Sus scrofa: one gene and its partners. The protein of the gene in region 2 purifies or fractionates together with the protein of the main gene of each other region. This does not show direct contact. Links are inferred from orthologs where the notes say so. Each region holds a gene or a part of one and is shown on either strand. Other genes may lie near its edges.

The links.
Region 1: the proteins of AMOT (region 2) and LATS1 purify together in Homo sapiens (affinity purification with western blotting; 3 studies listed by BioGRID and IntAct, with this or other methods). This does not show direct contact. The link is inferred for Sus scrofa from reciprocal best matches to the Homo sapiens genes AMOT and LATS1.
Region 3: the proteins of AMOT (region 2) and MPP7 purify together in Homo sapiens (affinity purification with mass spectrometry; 3 studies listed by BioGRID and IntAct, with this or other methods). This does not show direct contact. The link is inferred for Sus scrofa from reciprocal best matches to the Homo sapiens genes AMOT and MPP7.
Region 4: the proteins of AMOT (region 2) and MPP5 purify together in Homo sapiens (affinity purification with mass spectrometry; 6 studies listed by BioGRID and IntAct, counting the BioPlex papers as one, with this or other methods). This does not show direct contact. The link is inferred for Sus scrofa from reciprocal best matches to the Homo sapiens genes AMOT and PALS1.

What each region holds. Positions count from the first base shown.
Region 1 is NC_010443.5:16,302,111-16,306,063, reverse strand, and holds part of LATS1 (serine/threonine-protein kinase LATS1), read right to left. Parts: intron 2,340-3,953; coding exon 1,757-2,339; intron 1-1,756. UniProt on the Homo sapiens protein: Negative regulator of YAP1 in the Hippo signaling pathway that plays a pivotal role in organ size control and tumor suppression by restricting proliferation and promoting apoptosis.
Region 2 is NC_010461.5:92,644,668-92,649,087, reverse strand, and holds the start of AMOT (angiomotin), read left to right. Parts: upstream 1-1,225; 5' UTR 1,226-1,658; intron 1,659-1,721; exon of another isoform or gene 1,722-1,740; intron 1,741-2,691; exon of another isoform or gene 2,692-4,420.
Region 3 is NC_010452.4:39,536,155-39,540,107, reverse strand, and holds part of MPP7 (MAGUK p55 subfamily member 7), read left to right. Parts: exon of another isoform or gene 1-528; intron 529-813; coding exon 814-922; intron 923-1,005; exon of another isoform or gene 1,006-1,057; intron 1,058-1,653; exon of another isoform or gene 1,654-1,797; intron 1,798-2,512; coding exon 2,513-2,656; intron 2,657-3,953. UniProt on the Homo sapiens protein: Acts as an important adapter that promotes epithelial cell polarity and tight junction formation via its interaction with DLG1. Involved in the assembly of protein complexes at sites of cell-cell contact.
Region 4 is NC_010449.5:91,010,622-91,014,574, forward strand, and holds part of MPP5 (MAGUK p55 subfamily member 5), read left to right. Parts: intron 1-1,195; coding exon 1,196-1,273; intron 1,274-1,813; coding exon 1,814-1,960; intron 1,961-3,635; coding exon 3,636-3,797; intron 3,798-3,953. UniProt on the Homo sapiens protein: Plays a role in tight junction biogenesis and in the establishment of cell polarity in epithelial cells.

The DNA of each region.
Region 1 (3,953 bases), on a different chromosome or scaffold from region 2:
AGGAGAAGAATATCTGAAATTAACCTAATTGTAATAATCATCTGGGATGTTTGGTAAAAATACAATTTCTACACTCCAGTGAAGATTTTCAAGCAGAAGACTGAAATAGAGCCTGAGAATCATATTTTTAAGATGAACTCAAAGTAATTCAGGTGACTCTAGGGAGAGATTAAATTATGTTAAACTGAACATTACAGTAGGTTCAGGAACGTCAGTTCTTTTTACTTAGAACTACTAAGCAGTTCAATCCACTTGCGTTTGCAGAAACACAGGAGGTCAATAATATTTACCTCAGAGGACTTCTGTGAGCATTAAATTAGCCTATATGTAAAGCACCTAGTCATAGTGAGCATTCAGCAAATGTTAGATGGACTTCCATTAGTGCTTGGAGGGATCTTGTGAGGCAACGTGATATAGTAGAAATAACGTGGGCCCTATCATCAGACAAACCTGGGTTCAAAGCCTAGCCCTTATACTTATTTTCTGACTGTGGGCAAGTTTCTTATTCTAAGCCTCAGTTTCTTCATTCTGCCTTACAGTGACGTTGTGAGGATTAACCACAATCATGTACATAAAATGTTAAAGTTAAGCAAGTTGTGTAAATCATACAATGGAATCCTAAATAGCTATGAAAATAAATGCTACATGCAGGAACACAGAGGACTCTCAAATAAAAGAAGTCAACATAGATGAATACATATGGAATGATTACACTTAAATAAAGCTTGAAGAGTAGGCAACATGAAATACATTGTTTAGGGATGTATATACATATGTGGTGAAAGTATAGAGAAAAGAAGTGATTATAAAGCCCTGAAATAAAGGTTACCTCTGTAGAAGAAAATGATTTTTCAGGGTCTTCAAAAGTACTAATAATCTAGATCTTCAGCTGAATGATGGGTATGGAGCTTCGTTTAAAAATTACTTTCAGGAGTTCCTGTCGTGGCACAGTGGTTAACAAATCCTACTAGGAACCATGAGGTTTCGGGTTCGACTTCTGGCTTTGCTCAGTGGGTCAAGGATCTAGCGTTGCTGTGAGCCGTGGTGTAGGTCGCAGACGCGGCTCGGATCCAGCTTTGCTGTGGCTCTGGCATCGGCCAGAGGCTACAGCTCCGATTAGATCCCTACCCTGGCAACCTCCATATGCCGCGGGAAGCAGCCCTAGAAAAGATAAAACAAACAAACAAATAAATAAATAAATAAAATAAAAATTACTTTCAGGAGTTCCCGTCCTGGTGCAGCAGAAACAAATCCGACAGGAACCATGAGGTTGTGGGTTTGATAACTGGCCTTGCTCAGTGGGTTAAGGATCTGGTGTAGCCATGAGCTGTGGTGTAGGTCACAGACGCGGCTTAGATCTGGTGTTGCTGTGGCTCTGGGGTAGGCTAGAAGCTACAGCTCCAATTCGACCTCTAGCCTGTGAACCTCCATATGCCGCAGGTGCAGCCCTAAAAAGGTAAAAATAAATAAATAAATAAATAAAAATTATTTTCAAAATATTGTTAAAATTTGAATGTTAACATTTCAAATTAACAAAATGTAAAGGGGTTAACAAAAATGCTAATGATATTTAGATATAATTAATCCTAACATTCATTTTGTAAGTCTTAAGTGTCTAAGGGATTCACCCACATTTATCCAACAGAGTTGAGACCTGACCCAAGACTTCTGGCTTCTATCCAGTGATAATACCATTTTATATGTTGCTGCATTAATAAACTGTATAAATATGTACAAATTTTATGATTTTACTCACCACTCTGATAGTACTTAGAATCATGTGTCCATCTGAAGCCAGTGCAGAGGCCGAAGTCAGTCAATTTAATGTGACCATCACGATCAATCAAAATGTTATCAGGTTTAATATCTCTATGAATAAAACCCATTTTATGAACACTTTCAACTGCACAGGTAAGTTCTGCTATGTAGAACCGTGCCAGATTTTCTGGAAAGATGCCCATTCTAATTAATAGGCTCATCATATCACCCCCAGGAATATAGTCCATTACAAAGTATAAATTGTCCTTATCTTGGAATGAATAGTAAAGACGAACTACCCATTCGTTGTCAGCTTCGGCCAGGATATCTCTCTCAGCTTTAACATGAGCAACTTGATTTCGAAGCAGAACATCTTTCTTTCGAAGAGTTTTTGTTGCATACAAAGCCTTAGTATCTACTTTTCTTGCTAGACAGACTTCACCAAATGCTCCTATTCCTAATGTCTTTATCTTCACAAACATAGACTTGTCCATTTTAGCCCTTTTAAGACGGATGTAATTAGACTCTTTTTGGCAAAGCATCTTTCTCATTTGATCTTGGGCATCTTGAGATAATCCAACCTAGGCAAATAAACTAAATATTAAATGAGGAATTATCTTCTATACTGAGTATTAAGAAATCGCTTGGAAAAAATTCAGGCATATATTTAAAGGTTAAATGCATAATAATTTTTAATAAAGCATGTTAGAAATCTAGAATATATTTCAGAGAAAATTATCAAAAGTGCAGCCTAAGAGATAGTTAACAGGATATACAAAGTGAGTTATATATGCAGTCTGCTGTGGACAGCAAGAAGACATCAATGGTCAGCTTTCTACTCCTCTCTAATGCACTCAAAAAAATGCTCCCAGTGCAATAACCAAACATGTTAACATGCACCCTCATCTCTCTCTCCATGCATATTCAACCCAAACTACATAATTAGATTGCCTTCATCATATGCTTCTCTTTGTGGAATGCCTAGGAGTACACAGTCCCTTACAGAGTATAAATTGTCCTTATCTTGGAATGAATAGTAAATGAATTAATTTTATCCTTCATGAAAAGAAATTCTTCCACTCCAGGCTCATTTATTCTAAAATACTGATGTATTAAGAACAAAAGAAATGTCTTCTCTAACCTAAACCCTCATTAAATAGTCAGTCTTTCCTTTTGTAACTCTCAGGGCATCGGGGTAATAAGGGTAGGACTCACAGCCACCACTAACGCAAAATGCAAAGGGTATGTCATGTCTTAGTTAAAAGGGACAACTTGTTTGATTACAAGGTATCTGTTAGATATTCTGCAACACTTCAAAGAATAGTCAGTGTGACTTATGAAGATTAACAAAAAACCAAATTCTAAGTACATATGGAATACCTAAATTTAGATGGAAGGAACGGTTTATTTTTGACTAGTTAATAAATAATTTAAGGATTTAAATAGAAAAAGAATTTGATTTGAAAGGTAGAGTATAATTCTAGAAATGCAAAACTAATTAAAATATAGCAACCTCATGCTTCTGTTAGGATGCACATTTGCATGCAAAATCTTTTAAGAAAGGTGGCATGCCAGACTTAGTATAGAACTGTTTCTCTTAAAATCTTACTTGCCTACACAGTAATGGAGGCTACAGAAGTCAGCAAAGCTTCCAACACCATAAAAGTATAAATCAGCTATTAGTGAAAGTGAAGAGGAAAAAGGAAAAATAAACTAAGAAAATACATACAGACAAGACCTTAGTAAGAAATCCTAAGAGCTAAAATGCGGATCAGTTATATAGGTAATCATGGTATTTCTCATCTAACAAAATTCAACTTATAGCAGGAATAACTACACTGTGAAATCAGATTTAGAAAAATTATTTTGCGAGAATGGCTCTCAGAAGTTCCCGTTGTGGCTCAGCAGGTTTTGAACCCAACTAGTATCCATGAGGATTCGGGTCCATCCCTGGCCTCAATCAGTGGGTTAAGGATCCGGTGTTGCTTAGCTATGGTGCGGGTCACAGGTGCAGCTCGGATCTGGCATTGCTGTGGCTATGGTATAGGCCGGCAGCTGTAGCTCCGATTTGACCTCTCGCCTGGGAACTTCCATATTCTATTGCAGGTGCAACCCTAAAAAGCAAAAAAAAGAAGAATGGCTCTCACCGGAGCTCCCACTGTGACACAATGGGATGGGCAGTATCTTGGGAGCTC
Region 2 (4,420 bases):
CACAACTAGCTGATAAGTGCTTGAGTTCGAAGTGAGTTTTTCCCTTAGTTCCAAATTCCAGGTTATTCAATTTCTTTGTGGTTTCGTTTCCTGGTTGTAAAATGGTTGATTTTCAGTGTCCTGAGCGGCTGTTCTCAACCCTGTGTTCTTTAAGCAATACCAATTTTTCGCAGCCTGGAAATGTGAACGCCACATTGACACTTCTCGTACTTTTTTTCCTCCTCTTGGGCTAAAGAATTAGGGAGGAAGAAAAGTTACCTATTCCCAGAGGGCCGAGCAGTGCCACAAAGGTGTACTAGAGCCGGCCAACACTCTATCGCACTCTCTTAGGAGACTGAGAGACCAAGCGTCTCATCTTTCTTTCCGCAGCAATAGCTGGGGAAGAACCGAGAGCTAGACAATAGCCGCTTGTTTAGTTTTATTAATTTTGAGGGCGGGTGGGACAAAAGGATCGGATCGACGACGCAAGTGACCAATCGCAAGCGAACCCTAGGCCAGGAGTCGCCAACCGGGAACTGCCAAAGAATGGTGGGTGGGACTTACTCCTCCGGGCCGGCTCCGCCCAAGCCGGCCCTTCCTGCCCGCCCAAGAGGCGGAGGCTCCGCAGAGCCCCGCCCCCGCCACCCTAGCGGCCAGCGCGGCCAGCCGCGGGAGCGGGGCGGGGACGTAGGGTGGCGCGGGGGAGGAAGGGGGTGGCTGGGGGAGCGGAGGAAGAAAGGAGGGTGTCTCGCATAGTTGCGACCTGGGTGGGGGCCTGCTGGTCATAGGAAGCAAGAGGGGAAGGAAAACGGAGGAGCGCTGCTCCTTCCTGCATTATTTTAAGCAAGCTTTGCCTGAAGCTGCTTTTCAGCGTTTCTATTATTTGTTTTTCTTCCTCCCGCTGTGGGGCGGGGAGCTGCACTGGTTCTCCCACGCGACTCCGCTGCGCAGTTGCCGTACACTATTATTGGAGTCTTTGCAAAACCCTTTCCTTCCTCCCAGTCAGTCCTTGTGTAGACTCTCAGGGGTACTGTAACCGAGTCGAGCCGGGTTAGTGGAAGGACCAGAGAGTGCAACCCCGGCTTTCGCCTAGCGGCCGACCCTGGCGTTCAATTGTTTGAAACTTCCCCGCCCCCTGGCTCCGCCTCTCCCCCCCCCAACCCCGTCCAAGCTACTCCCTTCCTTCTTTCCCCGCCCTCTACTCCGCCCCACTCCCTAGTCCACCTCCCCTTCCCCCCCCCTCTCCTGGGCGGTCCTTGCCGCTCACCGCAAGAAGAAAAGCCACCCATTCGTCCCCCTCCCCTACCTCCAATCCTTTGCCCAGGAGCTGCCTTGATCGCAGTCACGCCCCTTCCTTCCGAGGAGATTTCTGGCTGCCCAAGCTGGTAGACCCCCTGATTTATTCCTCCATCTCCGCTCCCTTTCGCCTCATCTTCTCTTAGTTCTCACCGCCTCCTCCACCCCCACCTCCAGTCTGTCTCGCCTCCGACCATCCGCTGCTCCACCCTCCGGCCCGGTATCCTGCTTGTCCACTGCCACCAAGGAGAGCCCGGACCGAGCAGCGAGGAGGGGAGCAGCCGGGAGTTGGGGCTTCCCTCCTGCCCATCCCTGGCCTCCGGCCTGGGACGGAAGCCTCTTGAGCGAGCAGAGTCGTCACCTTGTCTTCGTTGCTTACAGGGGTAGGAGACGCGTGGTTACTTTTCGCGGGGATCTGGGGCAGGAATCCATGGTGGCATGAACTTGATCGTAACCTCAGCATGAGTGAGTCAATCTAGATGCGTGTGGGGATGCCTGTGTGTTCTACTTTCTTTGCAGCTGGCCGCGAGTTTTCCTGGATGTGCAGCAAGTTAAATAGGTTAAAGAGTGTGCGCTCCTTTCCAGTCCCACAAAGATGCTAACGGGTACCACCACTCGATGGTACTTTTACTCTCTTGCTTCCTGGGGTCCTTGTAGGTCTCTAGGTAATTAAGCACAAAAGGAATTAAAGACCAGAGGGAACTTGAGGTCTAGTAGGATTTAACTCATCAGGAATGTCCAGGCTTATCTCAGATTGTTAGATGCTTACTCCTAAATGCTTGGGGTTGAGCTGGCGGCTCACACTCCCCTCCCTGGGGGCTGTGAATTCTTGAAGTTAGTCTGAAGTGATCTACAATGCTACACTCTTTTAGGTATATATATATATGTGTTTGTGTGTGTGTGTGTGTGTGTGTGTGTGTGTGTGTGGTGAGGAGGGGGTTGCCACTACAGATGTTAGTAACTAGTTTTATTGGATCTTGCAGGTGCTTGAGGGTCCCAAGCCTGGGTCACTATATGATGGTTCTTCAACAGCAAGATGGGCTTATCAGTGTATGAAAATGAAAAGAAGGCAAAAAGTGAGAGGGAAAGTGACAGTCTTTTATAGACTGAGCTTTCCCTGGTAAATTGCCGCTAATAATAATATAATAATAATTTGCAGCAAGGGACTAAATACAATTAAATGAGAGAGGGAAGGGACAGTTTGTGAGAAACAGCATTCCAATCTCTAGCATGCATTTTGGAAAGAATTTTCTGACACCTTGGAGTGTCTAATTTAGTTTTCCTTCCTCCTCCCTCTCCTCCCCCACCCCCATAAAGAGTGGAAGTTGGGAGGCAAATTAAAACTTTTAAAAATATAACCCTCTTCTCCCATTCAGAAAGGAAGATAATTAGTCACCATAATCTTCAATAATGGAGGGCTCAGGGTATTTAAGTCTCCTTGAACTAGGCTTTGTGAAAAGTCCTTTCTCAGGACAGCCTTTGTGAAGCTTTCTCAGTTAGACCTTTCAGCACCCTCATTTAGTAGCTAAGAATAGTTTGAAATACCATTTTGGAAGTGGGATAAATCTTTACCCATCTCCCATCTACCTCCTATTGAGTAAGCATGGCAAACTCATAAGAATGGTGGTGCTTGAAGACCTATTACCAAGAGGTCCTCAACGCATTGCTTATTTGGGAACATATTATTTACTTATATTTTTACCTAATTTCGTTGGTTGATTTTAATGGGGGAAAAGAAAGCAGGAAGGAGTGAAGGAATGCTACAGGGTGACAATTTTAAAGGCTATCATATTTCAGATCGGCTGGGAAGGAAAAGTTGGCCTGACCAAACTAGATTTTATAACTGGCCTGGGACATTTTAATAGCCAGGTGGTTGTAGAGTAGTTGCATCTATTTACAGATGATAACTCAGGTTCCAGCTATTCTGTATGGGTTTATCCGGTGTCATTTGCAGACACTTTCTGGCACTACCTCATACCTCATTTTAAGATACTTCTTTCTTTGGAAAAGTCTGTGGCTCCGTAAAATTGAAAGTGCTTTTTCTTACTTCATAGACAAGATACGAAGTAAACCTCTGACCATACTTATATAGAGAGTAACTTTTACGTGAGAAATTGCGGCTCTGTTTACCTATTTAAAAGATTTTCGAAGGGAATTTTAAAGTTCACATTCAATACTCTTTTGGACTTGGAAATTGAAATCTCATTTCCGGTTTATGAAATAGGATTTATAGACTAATGAACCCTCCCCAAGCATTTTGTGTGGTTGCTTTTTCTGAAGTTTTGTAAAGAACGAATCAGTCTCTTTCTAGAATGCCTTAAGAACAGTCTATTCAGAAAGCAGAGGGATGGATGCTATGACCTTGAGGTCCCATTGAGTGCCAGAATTCTAAGTGGGTACATCTGCTTCTGTGCCTCTCCTAAGAGCCCTCTCCCAGGGCCCGCGCCTTCTTTAAAAGGGTGTCTTTGTAATTAAGCAGCCTCTCTCCCCCATCCCCCTTTCTTCCTTTGATCCAGCTTTTTAAGGCCTTTTTTCCATTTGGAGACAAGAGGAGTTTCTCACACTCTCCTACTCCCCTCTTAAGATTTCTTTTCTTCCCCCCTCCAAAAAAAAGTGCCCCGAAGTTCTCAGGATGGTTAGAAATTGTTTTGTTCTATTGGGGTGGGGGTGTTACCAATGAAGAGGTGTTGAGGATATATTCCCTCTTGAGAAATGTTTGTGACCAGGTAGCCTCCTCCATGGAGACTGAGCATTTGGAATGCATGAGAACAGTCTATTCTTAGGGACTGTCTGGAAGAAATTGTCCTTTGCACCCATTAAGCCCAGCTTAAACCCACTGAAAGGAGTGGAGAGAGGTGTGTGTGGTCGTGGCTGAGCCTTTTAGGATGGTAAATGGGTAAATGTTCCCAAATCTCCTATTACATCACCTCTTTCCCCCATGGATTCAGTGGGTTTGGAGATCTGCTTGACAAGTTAATTAGCTTGGGACTAAACCAATTTGTTTTGAATTGTTCTCCATTGATTTCCTGTCCCCAGGAATTTTTGTTGGTGGTTTACTATGACGTGTTGTCTTTAGTCTTGCTTACTTCTTCGTTCCTTGCTGCCTTTTGTGGACTTTGGTCAAAAATTTAGGGTCCCACCCCCA
Region 3 (3,953 bases), on a different chromosome or scaffold from region 2:
AATTGAATGCCTAGGGATTATTTTGAAGAATGAGGGAAGGTTGCTGGTATACTAGTGTGACACCTTTCTACCCTACTAGTTGGATCATAACATAGAATTTGGATAGAACTTTATTTTAAAAACTAACCACTGATCCCCAATTCCCGTCTTTTCCACACTCCTCCCCTATTGGCTCTTCAAAAATTGAAATAATGTTCATCATTATGCTTGTACCATATCCTTTAGCTAGCCCTAAAGTCTCCTTTCCCCAGGTTTTCCATTTGCTTAAGCATGACTATTACAGGGTATCAGGGAGCAATATGTGTTTTAATGCAGGATTGTGGGATTTTATTGAAACATCAAAATGCCTTTTTTTTTGCATTTGGTGCAGCGATTGTGTTTTTATAGCACGTAATCTGCTGCTCTGGTTCCATTAGCCACCAACCAACTCCTCGAGTTCTAAAGCTGAGCTTGGTTATTTTTTCATGTGCAGTGAAATTTCAGTAGTTTCTATTGTTCAGCTTATTCACTGTTTTATTGCACGGCATTCTGAAAAAGAGGTGATGGAAGACATTAGAGTACTGCTGGACTAAAGTACTTTTTTCTGCTTAAGTGTAATACAAGCAAGTGTTACTGATTTGAAAATGTAAAATAGAAGGTTTTTTTTTTTGAAATTGACATTCTGGAGTACTTGGACTGATTTATTTTGTTTAAAGCAGTTAAAAATTAGATGTTCAAAAAACATACTTCATGTATATGCATTATGCCTTGCCATACATATATATACACATATATATGTATATAAAATTTACAAATGATTCTGATTTTCTACAGGTTTATTGAATATGGCGAATATAAAAACAATTATTATGGCACAAGTATAGACTCGGTTCGGTCTGTCCTAGCTAAGAACAAAGTTTGCTTGCTGGATGTTCAGCCTCACGTAAGTGAACAATGAACTATTCAACACCCTTCTGGGCCCACATTTGAGCCGTTCAGTATGGGGTAAATCTGAAATCTACTCACTTTAGACTTTCCTAAGGCAACAAAAGCATTTAGATGTAATTTAGGAAGTCTGCTGAAAAGAAAAAAAAAAAAAAGACTATTATTATTAGAAAGAGGGGTCAGGGAAGCCTTGAGATTTTTATTTGTAGGTCTTGTTTAGATTCGATGTTTGCCAAGTATAGTGACTCTTAGATATTTCTTCCATGTATTTTGTATTTAAAAAATATGTGTATAATGTATTCGTCGGTATGCATTATTCTCAGAGTTCCTTGGTGCATCTGCACTGAATGGAAGTTCCTGGGCGAAGTGGTCCAATCGGAGCTGCAGCTGCCAGCCCACGCCACAACCCCAGCAACCCCAGATCCAAGCTGCACCTGCAACCTACACCACAGCCTGCAGCAACACTGGATCTTACCCAGAGTGAGGCCAGGGATCACCCCCGCACCCTCACAGATCCTAGTTGGGTTCTTAACCTGCTGAGCCACCATGGGAACTCCTCGGTGTTTAACAGTGGACATTTGGGCTCTTGGTTCTGTTTCACTGATTTTGGTTCTGTAACTATCCTAGAAGAGCAACCCTTGGCAAGAGCCCAGGCATCTCCCAGGAACTGTCCCGTGTGACATCTTAGCGCAGCTGTTGGGTAGAGCTGGCAGCCCCCTGGGAACTCACAGACATTGGATGTAGTGCCAGTGGATGAAACGATCCATTTCCTGGTCCCCCAGTAGAAACCCAGCCCACAGCATTTTCCTGGTTACCCACAGGGCGTGTTGAGGTCCTTCGTGAAAAGCAGGAAGCTTGCCCTTTAAGGGGCCCCTAAAGGGTAGAATGAAAGAAAAGGGGAGACCTCAGCTGAGATTAGGAAGAGGCTGAAATGGGACAGTTGGGAGACTTCCATGGAAAGAAAGTTACTTAACTCATAGCATCTTTTGGGTATTAGATATAAAACCAAGTTTCATGTTATTTTTAGCTGCTTCTGTTCAGTATTAATTATGGCATATGTCAAAGCATTTTTAAAGGCAAGCTGTATTCTCCATCTTTTCAGAGGGGTTTATTACATTTAATTGTCAACAACTGATATGAATTGAATTGAATGATAATATATTGAAAGACCTACTAATTTTCATTAGGAAATAATGTTAACGAATTTTCTCCCTACAAGGAAAATTCAGTTTTATTATAAAAGTTCACTCCTGGAGTTCCCGTCGCGGCGCAGTGGTTAATGAATCCGACTAGGAACCATGAGGTTGCAGGTTCAATCCCTGCCCTTCCTTGCTTAGTGGGTTAAGGATCTAGTATTTCCGTGACCTGCAGTGTGGGTTGCAGACACGGCTCGGATCCCGAGTTGCTGTGGCTCTGGTGTAGGCTGGTGGCTACAGCTCTGATTCAACCCCTAGCCTGGGAACCTCCATATGCCATGGGAGCGGCTCAAGAAAAAGGCAAAAAGACAAAAAAAAAAAAAAAAAAAAAAAAAAAAAATTCACTCCTGAATTATGTAGAACTATGACAAAATTTATTTTCTTCCTTGCAGACAGTAAAGCACTTAAGGACACTAGAATTTAAGCCCTATGTGATATTTATAAAACCACCATCAATAGAGCGTTTGAGGGAGACAAGAAAAAATGCAAAGATTATTTCAAGCAGAGATGATCAAGGTGCTGCAAAACCCTTTACAGTAAGTATGATGCTGCTTTGCGGAACATGCATAAGCAGCACTTAAAATCCTGTATGCAGGAGGGACTACCTTGGGAAGACTACACTAGATGAAGTTGTGATCCAAACATCCATGCAAGATAGACTTGTATTTAGGTACATACATTCTGGAAGTAATTGCTTTTTGTGCTTCTGTGAATGGATCTTCATATTACATTGACTCAAAACCATTTCGTATGCTATTGCACATACTTATAAGAGATTTGTAGGCACACGTAAAAATCAGACCACTGAGTTTTCAACTAGCCTTCTTTTTTAAATTTTATTGAAATATAGTTGATTTACAGTGTTGTGTTAATTTATGCTATACACCAAAATGATCAGTTGTGTATAGATATATTTTTTCATATTCTCTTCCGTTATGGTTTATCACCGGATATTGACTGTAGTTTCTTGTGCTCTACAGTAGGACCGTGTTGTTTATGCATTGTATATATACAGGTTTGCATCTGCTAAGCCCAAACTCCCAAGCCACCCCCACATCCCTCAACCATAAGGCTGTTCTCTAAGTGTGTTTCTGTTTTGTAGATTTGTTCATTTGTACCATATTTTAGATTCCACATAAAAGTGATATCATATGGTACTTGTCTCTTTCTAACTTCACTTTGTGTGATAATCTCTAGGTCTATCCATGTTGCTACAAATGGTACTGTTTTGTTCCTTTTTATGGTCAACTAGGCTTATTATTATTACTACTACTACTATTTCTTCTTTTTTAGCCATACTGGCGACATGTGGAAGTTCCTGGGCCAGTAATTGAATCTGAGCCCCAGCAATGCCCAGTCCTGCACCCACTGTACTGGGCTGGGGATCAAACCTGTGCCTCCACAGCAACCCAGCTGCTGCAGTTGGATTCAGCTAGCTTTATTTTTAAAGGGAAAAACACCAAAGTTAGTTCCTATCACTCATTAATAGTCTAGATGAAAAATTTAGTAATTTTCCCTTTTGTCTCCTTGCACCAACTTCGTATTTAGCATAGTAAAAGAAAAACCATCATTTTCAGTTGGTGTAAGGCAAGTAGACTTGTATTATTCAATAATGATATTTGAAGTTAGTTAGAAATGGCAGCTGGGATACATCAGGGACTAGAATGACTTCTGGCAAGGCCTTTCATTGTTTTTTGTTTTTAACATGAAGATAATTTGTTCTACTTTGGGATTAAAAATAAGAAGCAAAGAAATGTAATGTCAAGAGCTCCTTTTCCCCTCCCACTCTTAATGAATGACTCTTTAACCATAGTCTATATTAATGTGTAAATT
Region 4 (3,953 bases), on a different chromosome or scaffold from region 2:
GCTGGCAGCTTACAGCTCTGATTAGACCCCTGGCCTGGGAACCTCCATATGCCGCAGGTGTGGCCCTAGAAAAGACAAAAACAAAAACAAAACTGTTTTAACACATAAATGTAGACTATTTCTCAACTCATTGTACTAGAATAGTAAAACCTAGATATTAAAGAGACAGTAGTTATGTAAACCAGTGTATATGACTCTACTTAACCAAGTAGAGTCCAGTCCAATTTATGAACATTAATATAGAAATCTTAAAATATGAATAACTCACATCTAGAAATATGTTAAAGTAATAGTTTACTGTGTTATATAGTGTGCTAAGCAGTTTATGTGGATTATGTCAGTCTTAAGAACCTTCTGTGGCAGGTGAGAAAGAACCATTCTATAGGTGAAGAAGCATGGGCTTAAAAAAAATTCATTATAATCAAGTGGAGTTTATCCTAGGAATGCAAGAATTGCTTGACTTCAGGAAATGTTTTAATTTGATGCACTATAGTATGGTGGCTGTTCATTACTCTGATATAAATTTATCTTGTTGGTCTGTAACTCTTTAAAATGTTACCTCTGATTTAAAATATAGTTACATAAATATGATTTAAAAACTATAAAATAGCAACATAACCATTAGAACAGTCTTTCCCTTATGTAATCATTGTTAGTCTGTTTTGTAGTATGTTTGCAGAAATCATCAAGAAGGAAATACCTCATTCATAGGAATAAATAAAGAATGCTATTGTCAACCATGGTAACAAGATTGAAAACTGTGAGAAAGAAATACATTTTTTAGGAGTTCCCATTGTGGCGTAGCAGAAACGAATCTGACTAGGAACCATGAGGTTTCAGGTTCAATCCCTAGCCTCGCTCCATGGTTAAGAATGCAGCGTTGCTGTGAGCTGTGGTGTAGGTTGCAGATGCGGCTCAGATCTGGTGTGGCTGTGGTGTAGGCCAGCAGCTGTACCTTCAATTAGATCCCTTGCCTGGGAACCTCCATATGCCTCAAGTGTGGCCCTAAAAAGCCAAAAAAAAAAAAAACCCAACCTTTTTTTAAAAAATTATAATTCTCTTTAGTGTTTTTCTTTCTTACAAGTAGTTTTTAGGATTTTAAATTGTACCTTAAAAAAAAAACAAACAAAAAAAACCTATGTAGATGCTGGTGATAATTTCTCTTAACCTAGGAAGAATCATCTTTGTTCCTTAGGTACAAACTGTTTTGAAGCCAGTCCACCAGAAGGAAGGACAAGAATTAACTGCTTTGCTGAATGCACCGCATATTCAGGTAGACAATGGACAAAGAATTATATATGTAGTTTTTCCAGCATTTTAAACTCAGTTCAAATCAAAGTCTCTTGGGCTGAAAGAGACCTCAGATATTAAGTAGCCTGTTTTGTCTTCAACTCCCATCACATAATAATTATTGTTGGATTATGTTTTTTTCAAATTTAAAATTAACCACATAATTTTTGAAACAACTTTTTATTCTTTACAAATTCCTCCCTTTTTTGGTTATATTGTCCATAAATTTTATCTCTGATGTTGGACCCCAAGGTGATTTTGTTTTTATGAAGTTTAATAATCATTTTAGATTTTCGTAACTTATCTCAAAGTATTCCCTATTGTACTTAACACATCTTTAGTTATTATTAGCCATAAAAGATACAGGGTTGTACTTGACTTGGAAAGTTTGGGAACAGATCTGAATATATAATTAGCACTTCTTTTAAAGGTTTGATGAGCAGGATACTATTACATGATTAGTTTGAAATTTTGTACAGAAATCATGCTGTTACTTTAAATGCTGTGGGTTTCTTTGAAACAGGCACTTTTACTGGCCCATGATAAGGTTGCTGAGCAGGAAATGCAGCTAGAGCCCATTGCAGATGAGAGAGTTTATGAAAGCATTGGCCAGTATGGAGGAGAAACTGTAAAAATAGTTCGTATAGAAAAGGCTCGAGATATTCCGTTGGTAAGTGTTCCACATCTCTGATATGAGATCCTTTCCACGGGTCTACACAAGGATCTTGGTGTATGTCAGATATTGAAGACCCTTGACATTTCTGGTAGTTTTTTCCTTTTGAGGCTAATTTGTTGGAATTCTTTTGTGTTCTTGCTCAAACTCCTTATTCAGCTGAGAAAAATTTGTTCATCTTTTCTCACCCATAATTTGATGCAAATAATAGCTTGTGCAGTGATTGTTGAACAAAGAAAGCGCAGATAATCTGCTTCATTATTCTCTCAGCTTAAAAAACAAAAGACAACAGTTGGAGATTCTGATCTTTTCATTCAGTGCAATTACTTACATACTTCACATAGATTTAGTATGCTTTGTCTAATGTTAATATTTTATATTTTTTGTATATAAAACTTTTTTTCTCTTAGTCTACTATCATTGCCTTTTCTTTTATTTTCAGAAAAATATTCTTGAATCCTAAGGTCTCAAATTGTCTTGTGGTACATGAAATAGGGACTGTATTCTATTAAAGGGCAGTTTATGTAACTAGGTTTTTTTCCCCACGAGAAGAAAGAAATTGGGGAAATTATGACAAAATTTTAAAATAAAATTTAGGAAAAAAGTGTTAGAAACTACTTTCAAGCTTTATTCTGTATTTCATATTTCCATTTTTTGAGGGTGTAAATTTCAATTTTACTTCCAACTTGTGTAATAAATGTTAATGTTTAATACTTTTTTTTTTTTTTTTTTTTGTCTTTTTGCTATTTCTTGGGCCGCTCCCGCGGCATATGGAGGTTCCCAGGCTAGGGGTCCAATCGGAGCTGTAGCCACTGGCCTACCCCAGAGCCACAGCAACGCAGGATCCGAGCCGCGTCTGCGACCTACCCCACAGCTCACGGCAACGCCGGATCGTTAACCCACTGAGCAAGGGCAGGGACCAAACCCGCAACCTCATGGTTCCTAGTCGGATTCGTTAATCACTGCGCCACGACGGGAACTCCTAATACATTTTAATGTGAATTGGAGACAGCTATAATATTTAACATTTTGATAATTAACCAGTATTCATCGCTTCATCATATATTGAATTTAAAAAGACTTACAAGTCATGTTAACTAATTATATAACCATTGGAATAGCATCCAGCATATAGAGAACAAATTTGATTATAGGCTTTCACATTGTTTTTGAGCAAGTGCATTTTTATACTGTTGTATGCTTGAAAAGCCTGATTTTAGAATTTTAATGAGTAGAACACTTCTGAAGCAGAAAATGTGGGGGAAACAATCAGCTTTCAATTGCTGTAACTACTTTAGCTGTGTAAATAAATTTTTTCTTGCTTGGCATATGCACACTGAGGTATATGGAATGATTGGCTAACAGAGACCTGCTGTGTAGCACAGAAAACTCTACGTAGTATTCTGTGATAAACTATGTGGGAGAAGAACCTGAAAGAGAATAGAGGTGTTTACATGTATAACTGAATCTACTTTGTTGTACAGCAGAAATTATCACAACATTGTAATCAACTATACTTCAATAAAACTTTTAACAGTAAAAAATAATTTTTTTTCTCATGATAACTGAAGGCTAGTATTGTTGAATTGAAAAAAATAAGAATTTTAAAATGAGGAAATGTTTAACCAAAACATCGCATTTTTATTTTAAAATTGGATATTGAATTTTTTAGGGTGCTACAGTTCGTAATGAAATGGATTCTGTCATCATTAGTCGGATAGTTAAAGGAGGTGCTGCAGAGAAAAGTGGCCTGTTGCATGAAGGAGATGAAGTTCTAGAGATTAATGGCATTGAAATTCGGGGGAAAGACGTCAATGAGGTTTTTGACTTACTGGTAAGCTGACGTGGGTAGAAGAATAATTGATAGGTTCTCAAAAGCTGTTTTCTTTGTTATTAGACTTCAGAATAAAATATTTTCAGAGCACTTAAAAATAACTGTTAATATCTCTATATGGGAGTCTCCTGGTGGCTCAGCATGTTAAGGATCTGG